Coturnix japonica: one gene and its partners. The protein of the gene in region 1 purifies or fractionates together with the protein of each later gene. This does not show direct contact. Links are inferred from orthologs where the notes say so. Each region holds a gene or a part of one and is shown in the gene's direction. Other genes may lie near its edges.

The links. Proteins that work in one complex are often made in the same cells at the same time.
Region 2: the proteins of protein argonaute-4 (region 1) and TNRC6B purify together in Homo sapiens (co-immunoprecipitation; 3 studies listed by BioGRID and IntAct, with this or other methods). This does not show direct contact. The link is inferred for Coturnix japonica from reciprocal best matches to the Homo sapiens genes AGO4 and TNRC6B.
Region 3: the proteins of protein argonaute-4 (region 1) and TNRC6A purify together in Homo sapiens (co-immunoprecipitation; 4 studies listed by BioGRID and IntAct, with this or other methods). This does not show direct contact. The link is inferred for Coturnix japonica from reciprocal best matches to the Homo sapiens genes AGO4 and TNRC6A.

The regions. Positions count from the first base shown.
Region 1 is NC_029538.1:3,746,239-3,751,424, reverse strand, and holds the start of protein argonaute-4, read left to right. Parts: upstream 1-1,884; 5' UTR 1,885-1,965; coding exon 1,966-1,984; intron 1,985-4,243; coding exon 4,244-4,409; intron 4,410-4,859; coding exon 4,860-4,980; intron 4,981-5,066; coding exon 5,067-5,186. Other genes in the region: CLSPN (claspin), read right to left, coding at 819-836.
Region 2 is NC_029516.1:45,822,534-45,827,877, reverse strand, and holds the start of TNRC6B (trinucleotide repeat-containing gene 6B protein), read left to right. Parts: upstream 1-1,862; 5' UTR 1,863-1,977; intron 1,978-2,053; exon of another isoform or gene 2,054-2,095; intron 2,096-5,344.
Region 3 is NC_029529.1:6,727,846-6,733,085, forward strand, and holds the start of TNRC6A (trinucleotide repeat-containing gene 6A protein), read left to right. Parts: upstream 1-1,758; 5' UTR 1,759-1,773; coding exon 1,774-1,965; intron 1,966-5,240.

The DNA.
Region 1 (5,186 bases):
GGGTTGGAAGGGACCTCAAGGATCATGTAGTTCCAACCCCCCTGCCTGGCAGGGCCACCAAACATACACATTTACTAGATCAGGTTGCCCAGGAGACTCCATAGATCCCCATAGAGACCCCATAGATCATGTTGCCCATGGCCCCGTCCAACCTGGCCTTGAACACCTCCAAGGACGGGGCATCCACAACCTCCCTGGGCAGCCTGTTCCAGGGCCTAACCACTCTCCTAGTGAAGAACTTCCCCCTAACATCCAACCTAAATCTTCCCTCCTTTAACTTCAAACCATTTCCCCGTGTCCTGCTATTGTCAGCCCTTCCGAAGAGTTTAAGGGAAGAGTAGGTTCCCTTCAGGTATTGAAAGGCTGCAATGAGGTCTCCCCGCAACCTTCTCTTCTCCAGGCTGAACAAACCCATCTCCCTCAGCCTGTCCTCGTATTTCCACACTCTATCAATGTTTATTAGTGTCTAAACGTGCCTGTGCCCCACGTGACCGCACACACACACAACTCAATCAGCGCTTTGAGTTCATTACGACCAAACGCGGCCTACAACCGGAAGTGAAGCGCCATCACACCGGAAGGCCGCCACGAGCTCCCACAATGCACCGCGAGCCGGAAGTGAGCGCCGCCTCCCTGAGCATTCTGGGAAATGCAGTCCTGAAGCAAAGGCGGGAGGACGGAGCTGCGGGGCCGCCCGGTTGAGCTGTGGAAGCTCCGCCATGTCGCTCAATGGCCATGTCCGCCCTCAGCCCTGCGGTCACAGGAGCTGTAATATCCCCGGTAGGAGGCAGATGAACACACGGTGCGGTCACACTCACCTCAACGGGAGCCGCCATGACCCGGCCCGGCCTGTGCCGCCTAATGAACCTCTTCGAGTCTTCGCGCGCTGCTTTAGCCCCGCCCTTTTTTAGCACCAACCAATCATCGCTCAGCACATCCCTTTAAGCCCCGCCTTCCTTGTGTCTGATTGGGTGTTTGTATCTCTTCGCCCCGCCCTCTCCAGCACCGTCCAATCAGCGCTCTCCGTGTGGGGGTGGAGCTCCGTGTGGTACCGGGGTCTCCTCAGTGCGGGGTCGGGCCGCGGTGACACCACAACCCGAACCTACACAATGTAAGATCCGATTCACCTTATATATATATATATATATATACACGACAGGTCCGCACTTTGTACAATATAAAAACGGTTTGATAACGTTTATTAGTTGTTTTGTCGCAATTAAAAGTCAGGCTGCATCTCGCAGCGTGATAAAGGGAGAAAAAACAGCAATTTCTGAGGTTCCCGGTGACATTTGTGAGGTGTCCGCTGTTATTTCTGTGCAGATCCGGGTAATTGTGGCTGTTTTTATGTCTCTAACACATCATAGAACGGACAGAGTGACAACAGCGGGCTGCCAGGCCGCACAGCGCCTCTTTAGTTACCACAGGGCCTGAATTTGGCTCTAATAATGGCTCCGGATGGAGGCGATGTTTTATATTGTGTAAAATGTGTTTTATATTGTGTAAAATGGGGTTAAAAAGAGCCGAGAACCAACGGACCGAAGCGCCTCATTGCTGGGAGGGGGCGGGGCGCGCTCACCTGTGTGCGTAACGACGTGCGCGCTCCCGCCCGCCAGCAGGGGGGCGTTGTGCGTGCGCGCTCCCGCGGCTCAGGGCAGCGTGGAGGGGGCGCGCACGGCGGGAGGCGGCGCGTGCTGGCGGCGGCGGCGGGGGCGCGCTCGGCGGCGCGCAGCGGGGGGATTGTTTGCAACGCCGCTCGGGGTTAGCGGAGCTCCGGCAGCTCCCCCCCCGCCGCCGCCGCCACCCCCCCCACCGCCGCTGCTCCCCCCCGTTTCCTCGCCTGGCCCACATCCCGAAGTCAATATTCCCGAGATCAAGCGTTACGCGGCGGCGGCGGCGGCGGGGCCCGGGGCGGCCGGTGGGGCCGGGGGGGACCGCAGCGAGGCCGCCGCCGCCGCCGCCGCTATGGAAGCGTTGGGACCCGGTGAGATACAGCGGGAGGGGCGAGGCCCCGGTGGGGGCTGTACGGGAGAGGGGAGGAGGTGGAGGAAGCGGAGGCCGCGGGCTCGGGAGCCGCTACAGGCCGCTGGGCCGCGGGGAGAGCCTGGAGCGATGAGAACCGAACGACACGGCCTGGAACCGGCTGGGAACTACGGGGGAAGTTTGTGGGGCGGGTGATGGCTGAGCTGTCAATGGGGCACTCGGGCTGTGCTTGGGATGGGCGGCAGCGGCTGTGAGCACAGAGAGGCTGTGAGCACAGAGAGGCTGATGAGGGCGTTATATTGGTCAGCAGCCTGTGGTTGAATGCTGGTGTTATTTTGCATGTGGTGTTTTCTTGCTTGTGTTTTAATAGCCGAGCTAATTCTTCTGCCGGTTGGGTTTCTCTACCGAAGTGTGACTTGTCTTGGTATAATTGTTAATTCGGTTGAAATATTAGGTATTTATTGATACTAAGAGAACTGGGCTTGTTTAGCTTGGAAAAGAGAAGGCTCTGGGGAGACCTCATTGTGGCCTTCAAGTACTTGAAGGGAGCGTATAACAGGAGGGGGAACGGCTGTTTGTGAGGGTGGACAGTGATAGGACAAGGGGGATGGTTTTAAAGTGAGACAGGGAGGTTTAGGTTGGATATAAGGAGGATGTTTTTCACCCAGAGGTTGGTGATGCACTGGAACAGGTTGCCCAAGGAGGCTGTGGATGCCCCATCCCTGCAGGCATTCAAGGCCAGGCTGGATGTGGCTCTGGGCAGCCTGGGCTGCTNCACTGGAACAGGTTGCCCAAGGAGGCTGTGGATGCCCCATCCCTGCAGGCATTCAAGGCCAGGCTGGATGTGGCTCTGGGCAGCCTGGGCTGCTGGTTGGTGACCCTACATATAGAAGGGGGTTGGAACTGGATGATCATTGTGGTCCTTTTCAACCCATGCCAGTCTGTGATTCTGTGATATAATTGTAGGGGTTGGAAGGGACCTTCAGAGACCGAGAAACCAGCAGAGGTTTGTTCTGACAGTCTGCTCTGCAGCTGCACCATGCAGTCTGTCCGTGCTGGCTGCCTGCTCTGCTGGATCCTCTTCTTGCTCCGTACAACACTTCCTGTCTGAAGTAACATCTTGAGGTTTCAGTACCCATAAATGTCCCACGGTGGAAGAAATGGAGTTAAATAGTGCATGTGAACCTTGTCAGGCTGATGGGGCAGGGTGGTCTCCAGAATCCTTGGAGAAGTGCCTTTAGAAAGGAGAAGGTTTAAGTTGCATCTCCTTCCATGGACGCTGACCTCGGTCAGCACAGCCATTCCTGCCCACGAAACGTATCAATATGAGGCAGGAAAATGGGTAAATATAGTTGTCATTTAATCTCTTGTGGGAGGTCAGTGCTTGCACTTACTTCAGGCTAATTAGCGCAGGATTAATGGATCATCTCTCTCGTATCCAAATAAGCACAGCAAACTTTGATTGCCCTTGATGATTCACACTTGGCGAGATGGCTGTAGCTTGTAGAAGTACTAACTGGACCCTACAACCAGTTTAACTGTGCTCCTGCCCTGGTGGCAATTACTCATGTGGGTGCAGAACCAGCAATGCATCGTGTGGGATGTCTGCACCCCATACAGCCAAAGCTTTGGCAGTGATGTGTCAATTGGGCTCCAGCTGCTCTGAGCGTTCTGCTTGCAGTCATTGTGGGGTTGGTATTTGGGTGCGATGGCCGTCAGCTGCTTACAAACCCAAGTGCAGGAGGCTCCTTTCGTTTGGTCTTAGCTGTAGTTTAGGATTGTGTTAAGCTTATTGCTGCACACTGAAGTGTTCCCAAATATGAGCTTCATCCTCCTACAGCTTATCTGCTTCTCTTCGCTTCTAATATAACTGTGAGCCCTTGATTTAAATGGATACTGGCAGGTTGACACTTATGATACTGAACTTGCCCTTAGTTTAACTGTTAGTTTATTGCTACTCTTTGCCCCTCTGCTTTGCTGCTCGAGAACAGAGGGAAGAATCACAGATCACCCTGCATGCTGCCAGATACAGACAAAAGCCATGAAAAGATATTGCTTTGTATGCAGTGTAGACTGGGGCTGTGATAGATTGAACAACAACAGAAAGCGTTTAATCTTGTTAACGTGGTATCTCAGATCTTAAAACTTTGAGGACTTTAAGGTTTCTTTCTGCCATGTCAAAAAGACTTTCCAGCTAAACACACCTGAAAAGATGCTGCACTGAGTTATAATTCTCTTCTGTATTTGTTTGACTTCACAGGGCCCCCAGCAAGTCTTTTCCAGCCCCCCCGTCGCCCAGGCCTGGGCACTGTTGGGAAGCCCATCCGCCTCCTAGCCAACCATTTTCAGGTTCAGATCCCTAAGATCGACGTTTATCACTATGATGTGGATATCAAACCAGAAAAACGACCCCGAAGAGTGAACAGGTAGGAGCTGTTTAATAGCGATAACACTGTTAGCTGTTATACAAAGATGTCTGTTAGTAACCGGGGTGAGGGAGTTCTGCTTGTAAATTGATACAAGTGTTTTAGGTGTTTGTGCATATCAGTAGAGCCCATCTGAAGAGCACCCCAGCTCACCCCAGGGCAGATGCTTGTATTTGCTCCTGGGTATGAACAGTTCTTCAGATTGCTCTGCTTGTACTGAGAGCATCTCTTCTGGCAGCAATGAGTTTGGACACATGCCTTGCACTTTGTATTGAAACTTCAGTGTCTTAACCTGGAGGTGACTTACTGCTGGTTTCTGCTGATGACCTGTGTGTGTTTGAGTGCGCTGTAGCTCCTCCTACCTTGATCAGTTAAGAAAATCTAGAAAAGGAATTTGAAACCACATAAGATCACTGCTGGATTTTCCTGTTTTTTAACCTAACTTTATAGAGAAGTGGTGGATACTATGGTGAGACACTTCAAGATGCAGATATTTGGTGACCGGCAGCCTGGATACGACGGGAAGCGGAACATGTACACTGCACACCCGTTACCCATCGGCAGGGACAGAGTGAGTGTTACTGTGAGCGGTCTGAACTTCGTGCAGAAATCTGCTGCAGTCCTTAAAAAAAGCTTCTGCTTCGCTTTATCTGTAAGGTGGATATGGAGGTGACGCTTCCAGGAGAGGGGAAGGACCAGACTTTTAAGGTGTCCATTCAGTGGGTGTCAGTCGTCAGCCTTCAGTTGCTGTTGGAAGCTCTGGCAGGGCATCTGAAT
Region 2 (5,344 bases), on another chromosome or scaffold:
GCTATCAAACCTTTTCCCCTGCACTTCCTTAGCATCGCACACCAACCACAAGGGAAAGCTCTTCCTGAAGCCTTCATCCCCAAGCAGCCGAAGCTCTCCAAGCACCTGGCAATGCACCACAGCAGTAGCATAACACTGACATCCAGTGGATGAAAAAATACAGTCTCACTTGCTAACTCCGTCCCACTTCTGGACAGAAATGCAAATAGGAGAGGTGTGAAAACATAGCAAGAACTACTTTGTTCTTACACATTAGGGCTTTTGGAGCTGGAAACTAGCCCAGGAGCTGAGATTCTCCATGTGTGAACCTGAACGAGACCTTCTGAACTTCCAACAAAACCCTGCCCCCTTAGAGGTTGCTTTCCCTCAGTATCTGCACAGCCAGGTCGGTATTGCATCTCTGTTCTTTCGCTTTTTGGCACCTAAAGTCCATGTTCAGCTGCTGTGGCGTTATAACGGGATGCTCCTGAGGAGACCAAGTGGAAACATGGCGCTGGCACACAGGCCTGGATGAGGCTGGGAGGGGACAGACATAGTGCTAACAGCAGCCCTCAGCAATACCAGAGAACCAAAAGAGCGTGGAAATGGGGGTACACACCTCCATTTTCCCTCCCTCCCAAATGCATCTCCGACCACAGAAGAGCCCGAGTTGGAAGGGGCCCATGGAGACAACACCAAACCCCACGTCTGAGTGTGGATGACCCCACAGGTCCCCTCAGAGCGCCCCTTCCTCACCCTCCAGGCCCCGTTTCCCCCCCCCCGCACCGTGCGGAGCAGCGCTGCCGCCAACCCGCGCTCTGAGGAAGCGCCTCACACCGCCCCCCCACCAACCGCCGCCGCCAGCCCCGTCACGTGCGCAACTGGGAGAGCCACGTGACGCCCCCACCGCCTCACGCGGCCCGACACCGCCTTCCCCCCGCCTCCAGGAGACGGTGCGGAGATTGACAGTTAACTCAACCAATCATAGGGAAGACAACGCCCCCTCCCGCCCACGCCTGCGCGTAATCTGGCACCGAAGGCGGCTGCCAGTTGGCTGCGGAGGAGTCGCCCCCGACCAATGGGCTGGCCAGTAGTGTGACTGACATCCTCCCCGTCCAATCGCTGTGTGGGAAGGGCGGAGCAAGAAGTAAATGTTGCAGACGGCAGGAGTGTGGCGTTGTTGCCCCCTGGCATCACGAAGAGGCGGTGGCCGCTGTCCTCCTCATTACCGGGTGTGCCCGTCTCCTCCATTGGGCAGAGGAAGGAGGCACGCTGCTGCAGCCCCCACATCCACTTCGTTTCCAGCGCCGCTGCTCGATGGGCCGCGTTACAATGTGACGAGCACACGCCTTCGCCAATGGCGTGCGAGGGCGCAGCCTACCGGCCAATCCGTAGCGAGAGGGGGCGGGGCAAGTAGGGGCGGGCGTCTCATCTACGGGGCCAACCTCCCAGCCAGGGGGAGGAGTGGGAGGGGGTCGGTCGGTAGCCAGCGAGGGAGGTAACGTCAATACGTGACAGTCAGCCGGGGCAGCCAATCATTGAAGGGGTACCGTCGAGTCTGTCCAATCAGAGGAGCTGGAAGGCGGGTCTTTCTCTTTGATGGACGTGGGCCTTGGCTTATGGGCGGGGAGATGCGTGCGGCTCTCCCCAATGGACAGCATTCAGGGGCGGAGAAAGATAAGACGAGCAGGCGAGACAGCCAATCAGCGCGGGGGTCGTCGGGGCGCAGTCCAATGGGCGGCGCGAGGGGCGGCGCGGGGGCGTGTCTCAGTGTGTTTGGGTTCGTGCTCCTCGGGGGAGGGAGACGGCGGCGAGGAAAGTTTTTTTTTTTTTTAAACTATTTTCTCTCTTTTTTTTTTTTTTTTTTTTTTTTCTTACTATTTGTGTCGGCGCAGCAGGAGGCCGCGCTCCGCTCCGCAGCCTTTTGGCGTTCGTTGTTCCCCGGGCGGAGCCGCCCCCGGCACTGAGAAGGGGGCTCAGCGCGGCGGCGCCTCAGCGGTGAGTGTGTCCTCCCCCCCCTTCCCCTCAGGGCCCTTCCCGCCCGCGGGCCGCGCGCGCCGCCTGTGAGGGGCCATTGGCGGTAGCGGCGCGCTCGCCCCTCCGCCCTGCAGTGAGAGTGAGCCACGGGCGGGCTGAGGGGGGCTCACCCAGCGCGGCGGCGGCTCGAGGAGCTCCGTCCCTCCGGTTCCACCGATAGGGCCCTTGGGGGCCGTCGGGCTGCTGCCCGGCCTCGCGGCGTGCGGCTCCCGGCCCGCGGCCCCGGGAAGAGGGCCGGAACGGGAGAGAGCCGCTGTGGTGTGGGGACGGCGCTGAGGTGGCGGCGGTATCCCGGCGGTATCCCGGCCGCTCGCCGTGGTTGTGTGGAACGTTGATGTGGGGACGTGGGTGGGAGGAGGGACGGTGCCGAGAGGTGTGTCCCGGCGGCGCGGGGAAGGGGATAGCAAACTTTCCCGGGGTGTTCGTAGCGATAGGAGCCGCTGGTTGGGTGTGGAGAGGCGGTGCTGGGCAGCGCGGTGTCCCGCCGGCTCTCGGCGGCTGCTGCAGGGCAGAACTGAGGCGTTCTGAGCGAGCCCGGGGTCAGCGCAGCGCTGCCCTGGCCGAAGCAGAGGGGCTTAATGCTGTACACTCCGCTTTAGCCTCCCTATGGTTGTTTGGCCGTATTTTGCTACCCCGAACAGTGACTTTGCTATCTCTCCCTATAGTCTGCATTGCGCCTTTAGAGTTAACTTTTTCTGCCCTCTCCTTTTTTATTTTTTTAACCCTCCGTAATCATATTTAACCACAGCTTGTCTGATTACAGTCCCACTTTCATCTCCAAAACCTATGCGTTTTTCTGAGTAGCAGCAGGTAAACCCGTGTACTTTGTGTAGCCCTGTATGAAAGTTTTGCGTGCTGCTTTCCAGTACTGTTGCTATTCAGATGAACTGAACTTTAGTTTTTGGTATGATTGTATGCAGAGCAGCTTTGCTTCTTCAACTTCTTATTGTACGAGTTCAAGCAGCTTTCTATTAAGCTCATCTGTACCGAAGTTGCTTAGCAATCCCACCTCTCCTATGGTTGCTGTGACAGTGCAGGTGCCTCAGAACACACGTACTGCTGTGGAGCTCAGCCAAACGTTCTGATCTGCGGTGGCACCCGAGGTCCTGAACTCAAAGATAAGGTCAGGGCTTTGCTGCGTGATCCACTGTCAGTGCTGGGGCTGCCATGCAGATGGACCTTAGGAGTGCTTGGTGAAGGTGGCTCCTCACCCGTTTGTTGTTAACTTTGCTACTCAGGCAGGTAAAGCCTGGCAGTGCTTTGATGGCCTGGCAAAAAGATGAGGGGAGAGTGGAACCCTGTGTGGCAGCAGGCACGCATTAGTTTTCTTGCTCTGAAGTTGTGGTGGCAATGCGGTGCAGGTAGATATTATGTCATAGAACTAGGTGTGATGTTCATTATATCATTTACTTTCATCTTGGCTAGCTATGTTTCATGTAAACATTTTGTGAATATACAATTTCATGTAAAACTATGCACATATATATATGCAATTAACTCAGAATTGGCAGTGCTAATTGGTAAAGTTCTAGTGTGTATAACTCGTCAACTTAGTCTTCATTTGTTTCCTTATGATGTTATCGGGCTGCTTAGGAAAAAGATTCTCTTAATTCCAATAATGTGGAAGTACTGGGTAAAACAGTGACCCTGCTTTATAAACCAGTGTATGAATGAATGTTACTGCAGTGTTTGCATAGCTGCACATTCAGCTGGAAATCTGAGCTGAAAATGTGACAAAAATAAGGTTTGGTCCAGTCGGATGTTCACAGAATTATCATCAAGGTTGGAAAAGACCTAGAAGATCATCTAGTCCAACCATTACCAATACTTCCCGGCTAAATCATATTCATCAACACAACATATAGATGTTGTTGGGGAAGGAGAATCTCGAAACTGAATCAGAGAAAGTATCACCTGCCAGCAACTGTGTGACTGAGTATTGCAGTCAAACCCTGCAGTTAGTGAGCGTGTCATGGCTTTGCCTGGTGATGAGCATTTGATCATTAGAACTTGATGTCCTATAGCTTTCCAGGCTTGGAGGATGACTTGAAGAGGAGGGAGTTTCAGAGAGAGCAAACTTAGCTCTGAAACAGTAAGTTTAGCCTGAGGTTTTCCTCCAATGGCAGGTAGTAGTGAAACAGAAATAAATTGCTTTGCAGAAGTAGTGCCTGATTGCTGCATTGGAACAGTGGGTTGTGGAGCTGCATCCCGGATGGTGGAGTGAGGTGAGGAGTGCTATAGAAGGCATCATTTGAAAGGAAGTTCAAATGGATTTTGTTCTTAGGTCTTGATTTTATTTCACGGTATAACTGGTGTGTTTCTGCTCATGGAAGGCTGCCTTTACAATTATTAAGAACTGGAGACCATAGAAAAAACATCCTAGGAGCTTAGTTATTGATTTGAATGGGTTTTTTAATAGTCTACCAAATGGTTTGGTTACTTTATTCTGTTTTCTGCAGGATACTTGGATGCAGAATTTTCTGTCCTGGCTGCTTATTGCCATTATCTTTATTTGTGTGTGTGTGTTTGTGTTTATATATGGATAGTCCGGCTTGTGCAATAATGACAATCAGCAGTTGCTTTGCGGCTTCTTTGCTGCAGAACAGCAAAGACTTTCCTCACTAAGACTGTCACTGTTTAGAAGTGGCTTTTTTTGTTGTTTTCATGTGGTAAAATAAGTATTTAATGCATGGCTAGAGGAGGAAGTATCTGAAAGTCACAATTAGATACTGCTGGGTCTTGTTCAGCACAAGTTTTGCCCCCTCAGTCCTTGCAGTGTGTTTGCCTGAGCTGCTGTTGGAAGTGCCTTGAATGGTTTTCTGATGGTTTTGTTTTTGAAAAAAATACTTGTAAAATGTTACATTGTCTTAGGGAAAGTGAATTGTCTTCTGTTCTAATAGTGAGAACTTAGTGACACATATGTAGAGCAATTAATACTATATATTTCTAATTGTTTAACCAGATGTGGTATAAAAGAATTTGCTGATAACGTTCCATACCTTAGTAATTGCTTTTTCCTCCTTCTGATAAAAGTACAAACTAAATTGTGCTGTTCTTCCAGCACTCGGCATGCGATGTAGAGCCTGAAGAACTGCTCTCAATTTCTTGTTAATCCAAACTAAACTTTTTACCCCCGTCTGCTAATAGAAGCAGGGACGCACTGTGGTACCGGAGCCAGCTGTCACTGTCAGACAAGGAGCTGCCAGTTGGCATTTCTGCCTGGGAGTTGATGAGGGTAATAGCCAGTAGGGTATAATGCTGCTTCTTCCCTGTCACTCTTAGCAGACAGTAAAACTCTTACACTTCCTAGATTTCTCTGTTTTATTCT
Region 3 (5,240 bases), on another chromosome or scaffold:
CAGCTCTCGCAGGCAGCGCGATCCTCCCCGGTCTCCAGGGATCTCGTGGCATTTTGCCCAGATGGCATCGGTCTGTGTCTCAAGGACATAACGCAGCAGCGCCGCGCTGACAGATGAAGCCGGGGCGCTCCTTCGTCTCCTCTGAGAGGGAAGAGAAGCTCCTCGACATGCCAGGGCTGCAGCCGGCCGCTCCCTTTCACCTCTGCGAATGAGGCAGTGCCTGGTGCCCACCTGGGTTGCAGCGCGTGGGGCAGCGCTGGCCAAGCACGAGGCCCCCCCCGTCCCCGTGGAGCAGCGGGCGCTCGGCCCTGTCCTCCCCCGCTGGCACTGCAGGTAGGTGTGGGACGGTGCTGGTCCATTGGGGCACTGCTGGTAGCGACAACGTGGGCTGGAAATGCCGCTCCCTGGGATGGCTGCTGGGGCCTCGCAGCCTCATGGGGAGCCCACGTGTGGTCTCGGTGGCTGCCAGCACAAGGGATGGCACAATGGTCTGGGGATGACCTGTGGAATGCATGTAGCATGCATGCAGTGGCCATGCTGGCACCGTGGGCACAAGGCTGGTGGTGCCCCTCATCAGCTGTATTTAATTGGTGCATTCTGTTTTCTTGAACACGCTGTGGTGATGGAGCTGGCTCTGCTGCTGTTGTGCACGTGGGGATGAGTGGGGATGAGGTCGCAGTGGGGGCTGTGCCATGAGCCTGTCAGGGATGACATGGGACCTCCGGGAGGGATCCACCATGGGATGGAGAGTGACAGCATCCTGTGTTGCCATGGGATGGGTGGCAGCGGGATGTGGGGCTTCCAGGGCCTCCCCCAAACCTTCCCTTTTGTCCCCAGAGCCCCTCATTTCCCTGTTCTGTGTGTAGCTCATTTCATGCCAAATGGAAATGGGGTTTGTTTTTCCTTTTTTCCCCCCCTTTGCTCCTGCATGTGGCCAATGGAGTGTTTCCTCGCCGCGTTTCATTACAGCCCGTGCCGCTCAGACACCGCTCCCAGCGCTGCCGTGTGCCGGGAATGCCAATGAGCCCACACTGCCACTGCAAAGCCTATTTGTCCTGAATGCAGAATAATTAATGGTTTGGGAGAACCGAGCGAATTACATTGGAGCTGTTGCCCAATTAGTTAAACTAATTGAGAAGCGGGGGCAGCTACCACAGACCCTGCAGCATCACGGTGCTCCAACTCTGCTGCAGGAATGGGGCCGTCCCCATGCATCCCCATAGAGCTCAGCGTTCTCTTTTGGATGTTCTGCTCCGTTTTCTGTCTGTTCCTACACAAACGTGTGTGTGTGTATGTTGGGTGGAGCTGGAGGGATGGGAGCACGATGCAGCACCATCGCTGCTCTGCGGGTGCTGTGGGGCCGGGCACTCACAGAGCTGCTCTTCCCCCATATGCGCTGTGACAGATTACAGCTTGATAGAGCCACAAACACCGAAGAGCAACAGAGGCGTCAATTTAGTTATTAACAAAGGGCAGCATTCAAATGGAGCTGGCGCGGCTCCAAGTCACCGAGCTCATGAGCATTTATTAAATATTCATCGAAATCTTGGCATTTTGCTCCCCTTTCACTCCCCCACCCCCCGAAATGAGTTGGTTCTAAAGGTTAGGAGCCCGCTTCAAAAAAATTAATTATTTCGTTAGCTCGCTGTAAATTAGATCTTTACAATGAAGTTTCAGAGGGTCGGTGCATGATGGGGTCACGGTGGCACTTTGGGGGCAGGTTGGCTCATCACGCTCACCCTGACCCTGCCACGTGGCGGCGTGTGGCCCCAAATGCTGCGTGAGCTCCACAAAAGAAAGAAAAGAAAGGAGAAAAAAAAACTTAAATACAAAAACACCAGCAGGTCTGTCTGCTTCCTTCACCTGCCCCTTTGTCTCCGAGCCGTACCTGCAGCACACAGAGCTCCGTGTCACCGCCGCGCTGCGAGACTCTGCCCTCTGCTTTGGCACCGCAGCTCCCGTTTGGTGAGTGCACCGCTGCTGCCAGCAAGTAATTGGCGCAGCAATCCCACCATCACTCATTAGCATGCAGGGTGCGTGCGGGAGCTTCGATGCCTGCAGCCTTGGCATGGGGCTGCTGGGTGTGGGAGTGTGGCGGGGTGCTGCAGGTTGTTTGGTGCTGCAGGTTGGTTGGTGCTGCAGGTTGTGGGGTGCTGCAGGCTGTGAGGTGCTGCAGGTTGTGGGGTGCTGCAGATTGTGGGGTGCTGCAGGTTATGGGGTGCTGCAGGTTGTGGGGTGCTGCAGGTTATGGGGTGCTGCTGCTCATGCAGAGCCATGCACCAAGGGCTGTTGCTTGGTGTCTCTTCCTCCCACCAGCTCCCTGCTGTGCTCCTGTGGCTGCATCCCTGCAGCCGTTGTGATGCTCCCAGTGCTCCAGGCTGGTGGGACACCTGAAGCTACCATAGCTCATTGCCTTGATGCTGGGATTAATTGTTTTTCTTCCCCATCCGTAAGCATTTGGGGTGAGTGTTTGGAGTGTGTGCTGTGCCGTGGTGCTGAGTCCAGGCTCCGCCATGCCCTGGTGCCCCACCTGCCCCCTGCCATGCTCATAGCACGCAAACAACCACACAACCCCAAAGGCAGACAGGGCCATGGGCTCAGCCCCAGCCTGGAAGGGGCTGCAGGGGCCCGACACAGGCACTGTCCATTAGGATGCAGGTCCATCACCATCTCCCTGGAGACCATGGGAACAGAGGGCACGCAGAGCCGGTGCCTGGCAGCCACGCTGGGAAGGGGCAGCTGTGCATCGACTCTGAGAGCGCCGATGAATTACTGCCCCTGTTCAGGCAGGAGCCTTTGTTCCCCGCGCATTGTCAGCAGAGAAATTGGAGAGAAAAGTAAAATTAATCAGGCTCAGCTCGAGATATGGGGAGACAATGAGCCGAGCGCGTACCAGGAGATAGCGCTGCGCGGAGCATCCGCTCCGTTTTAAGCATTAGTAGCAATTTTTTTCCTGTCCTTGAACTAATTATCTACAAAAGCTCCTTTGAGCCGACGCTGGGTATGAATTGCCGTGCTGGTGCTGCATTGTGACGGCAGTGATCCCGTATTTAATACGCGGGGCATTCCTGGGTAATGGCTGGCCCCTTTGTGCCGCTGAAGGAAGCCATATGTTTCAGAGACATCCCGAAAGATCTCACAGCAACAACAAAACGGGGATTTCTGCGGCTGCTGAATGTGGCTGCCAATCATCCACATCCCGCTGCCGGTGTTGTGTGGGTCACTGCGGGGCTGTGTTAGAGGAGGGATGTGCTGGCTGGGCACTGAACTCTCCGCGCTGCTGAAGTGCACCAAGGGAGCTGCTTTTCCTCCTCACTGCAGCTCCGTGTCCATCACAGAGAGCTGAGGAGCCTCCTGTCCCAGTTCCTGAGGTTCAGCTTGGGCGCGGTGTGCAGGGTTTTCTCTGTGGGTTTTTCCTTCCTTTTTGCTTGTACGGATTCGCTCCCAGCCATCTTTTGCGCCAGATTAAAACCTGTGAGCCCATGACTTCCTAGGGCATAGCTTTGCAATTGGTAGGAATGGGTTTCAAAGCCCCTCCTGTCCCATGGTGCTGAGCCCCAGCAGTGTGCCCAGTCCTACTCCTCCCCTCCCAGCACAGGGCAAGACCTGTTCCCATCCGCTCCCTTTGCTCTTTGGGTTCCCCATCTGACAGTCAGCACAAAGCACAGCTCCATCTTGATTTAGTAAGTACCTGGAAATGTCATCAAAGATGTGATAATAAAATATCAAATGCAGGCAAATGACTAGCCAAAAGGCATTTAAAAAAGTGAAGAGTGTCTGTGTAGTAGATTAAGACAGCCATTCCCATCCTGTACGGTCTCACCACCTGTCCATTACCTACATTTGATGCTTTATCACTCCAAAGGCTCAGCTCACCCAGCTCACATCCTCAGTTCATGCACTGCTACTTACAAGGCAGACAGAGACACTGATGGCAACAGCTACAGCTGAGTTCTGATGCTCAGAAGTCTCTCAGCAAATTAAAGCCCAGCCCCACACCCGAAGCAATAAGGACAGAGCCAGCTCAGCAGCACAGGGATGGATGTGTTAATGTTTTAATAGGCTGATTACCTCATAAATAATTTGCTCAGTTCTAGAGTAATTGACCCGGTCACAGAGGTAATAAAGGGCTTTCCCTTGGGTTCTTGTTCAAAGGCTCAGCAAACCCTTTCCAAGGGAGCCCTAAGTGCCTTTTAACAATATGTGTTTTATATGGTCACAGTCTGGTACCCTGCTAATTCAGCAGTCACTGCAAACACCATCAGTTCAGCTCCATGGACAATTCAATTAAATTAAAAATAATAATAATAAAATAAAGAAGAAGGGGAACCAACACCTTCAGCCCCAGGAGCTCTGTGCTGCTGTGTGTGGGCACTGCCCTCCTGCAGCTCCACTGTGCAGCCCCTCGGCTGTGCCCCTGCCCCCCGCTACTCCTGGCACTGGGCTTGTCTATGGCTGTGGGTCACTGTCCTGCAGCAGGAGCGGGCAGAGCTCAGGGCACAGCTTCAAGCTCTGACTCATTCACCCATCCCATTCATGTCAATATACTGAGGTTGTGCCCGTTGCTTTGGGCTCTTGTGTGCTGGGGATTCCTGCTGTGTGCTGTGGGTTCCTCTTAATTACTGTTTTCCTCCCCTCTGATGGGTTTTTTCCCATGTGTGCTGGGTATTCCTGGGGTGTACTGCACGTTCCTGATGCATTTTTGCTGTTCTTCCTGCATCCCAGCTATTCCCATTGCACACTGTGCCCTTCTCCTTGCTGGCACTGGGAGCTGCAGAGCCAGGCTGTGGCCCAAACCGTCAGACATAAATCTAGCTGTGATGGAAAGTAAATTCAATATCCTTGCCCTTATTTTTGTAAATTAGTGTAACCGTCAGCTGCAGAATAAATGACACCTAATTACTGATGGGGCAGCTCGTGCAGGAGCGCGGAGCTGGGAGGCGATCATAGCAAAGCACTGTCAGTGATGGGAAATGAGCACGATGCCGGCTGTAGGGAGCTGTAATTACGGAGGACTGACACACTGTGAGCTGTTTATGGTAATGAAGCGGTGCATCAAATCAAATTAACCTTAGTTATTTGGCACAGAACGCACTGAGGACTTCTCTCAGTCGATGCCGAACCCAAACCCAGAGCGGTCGCCCTTTGGACCCAAAGAGTCAGAAATCTGCTGAAGGTGGAGGCAGTGGCTCTCATTTAGGATGTGTGCATGGCTGTGTGCAGGGTCAGGGATGCAGGGC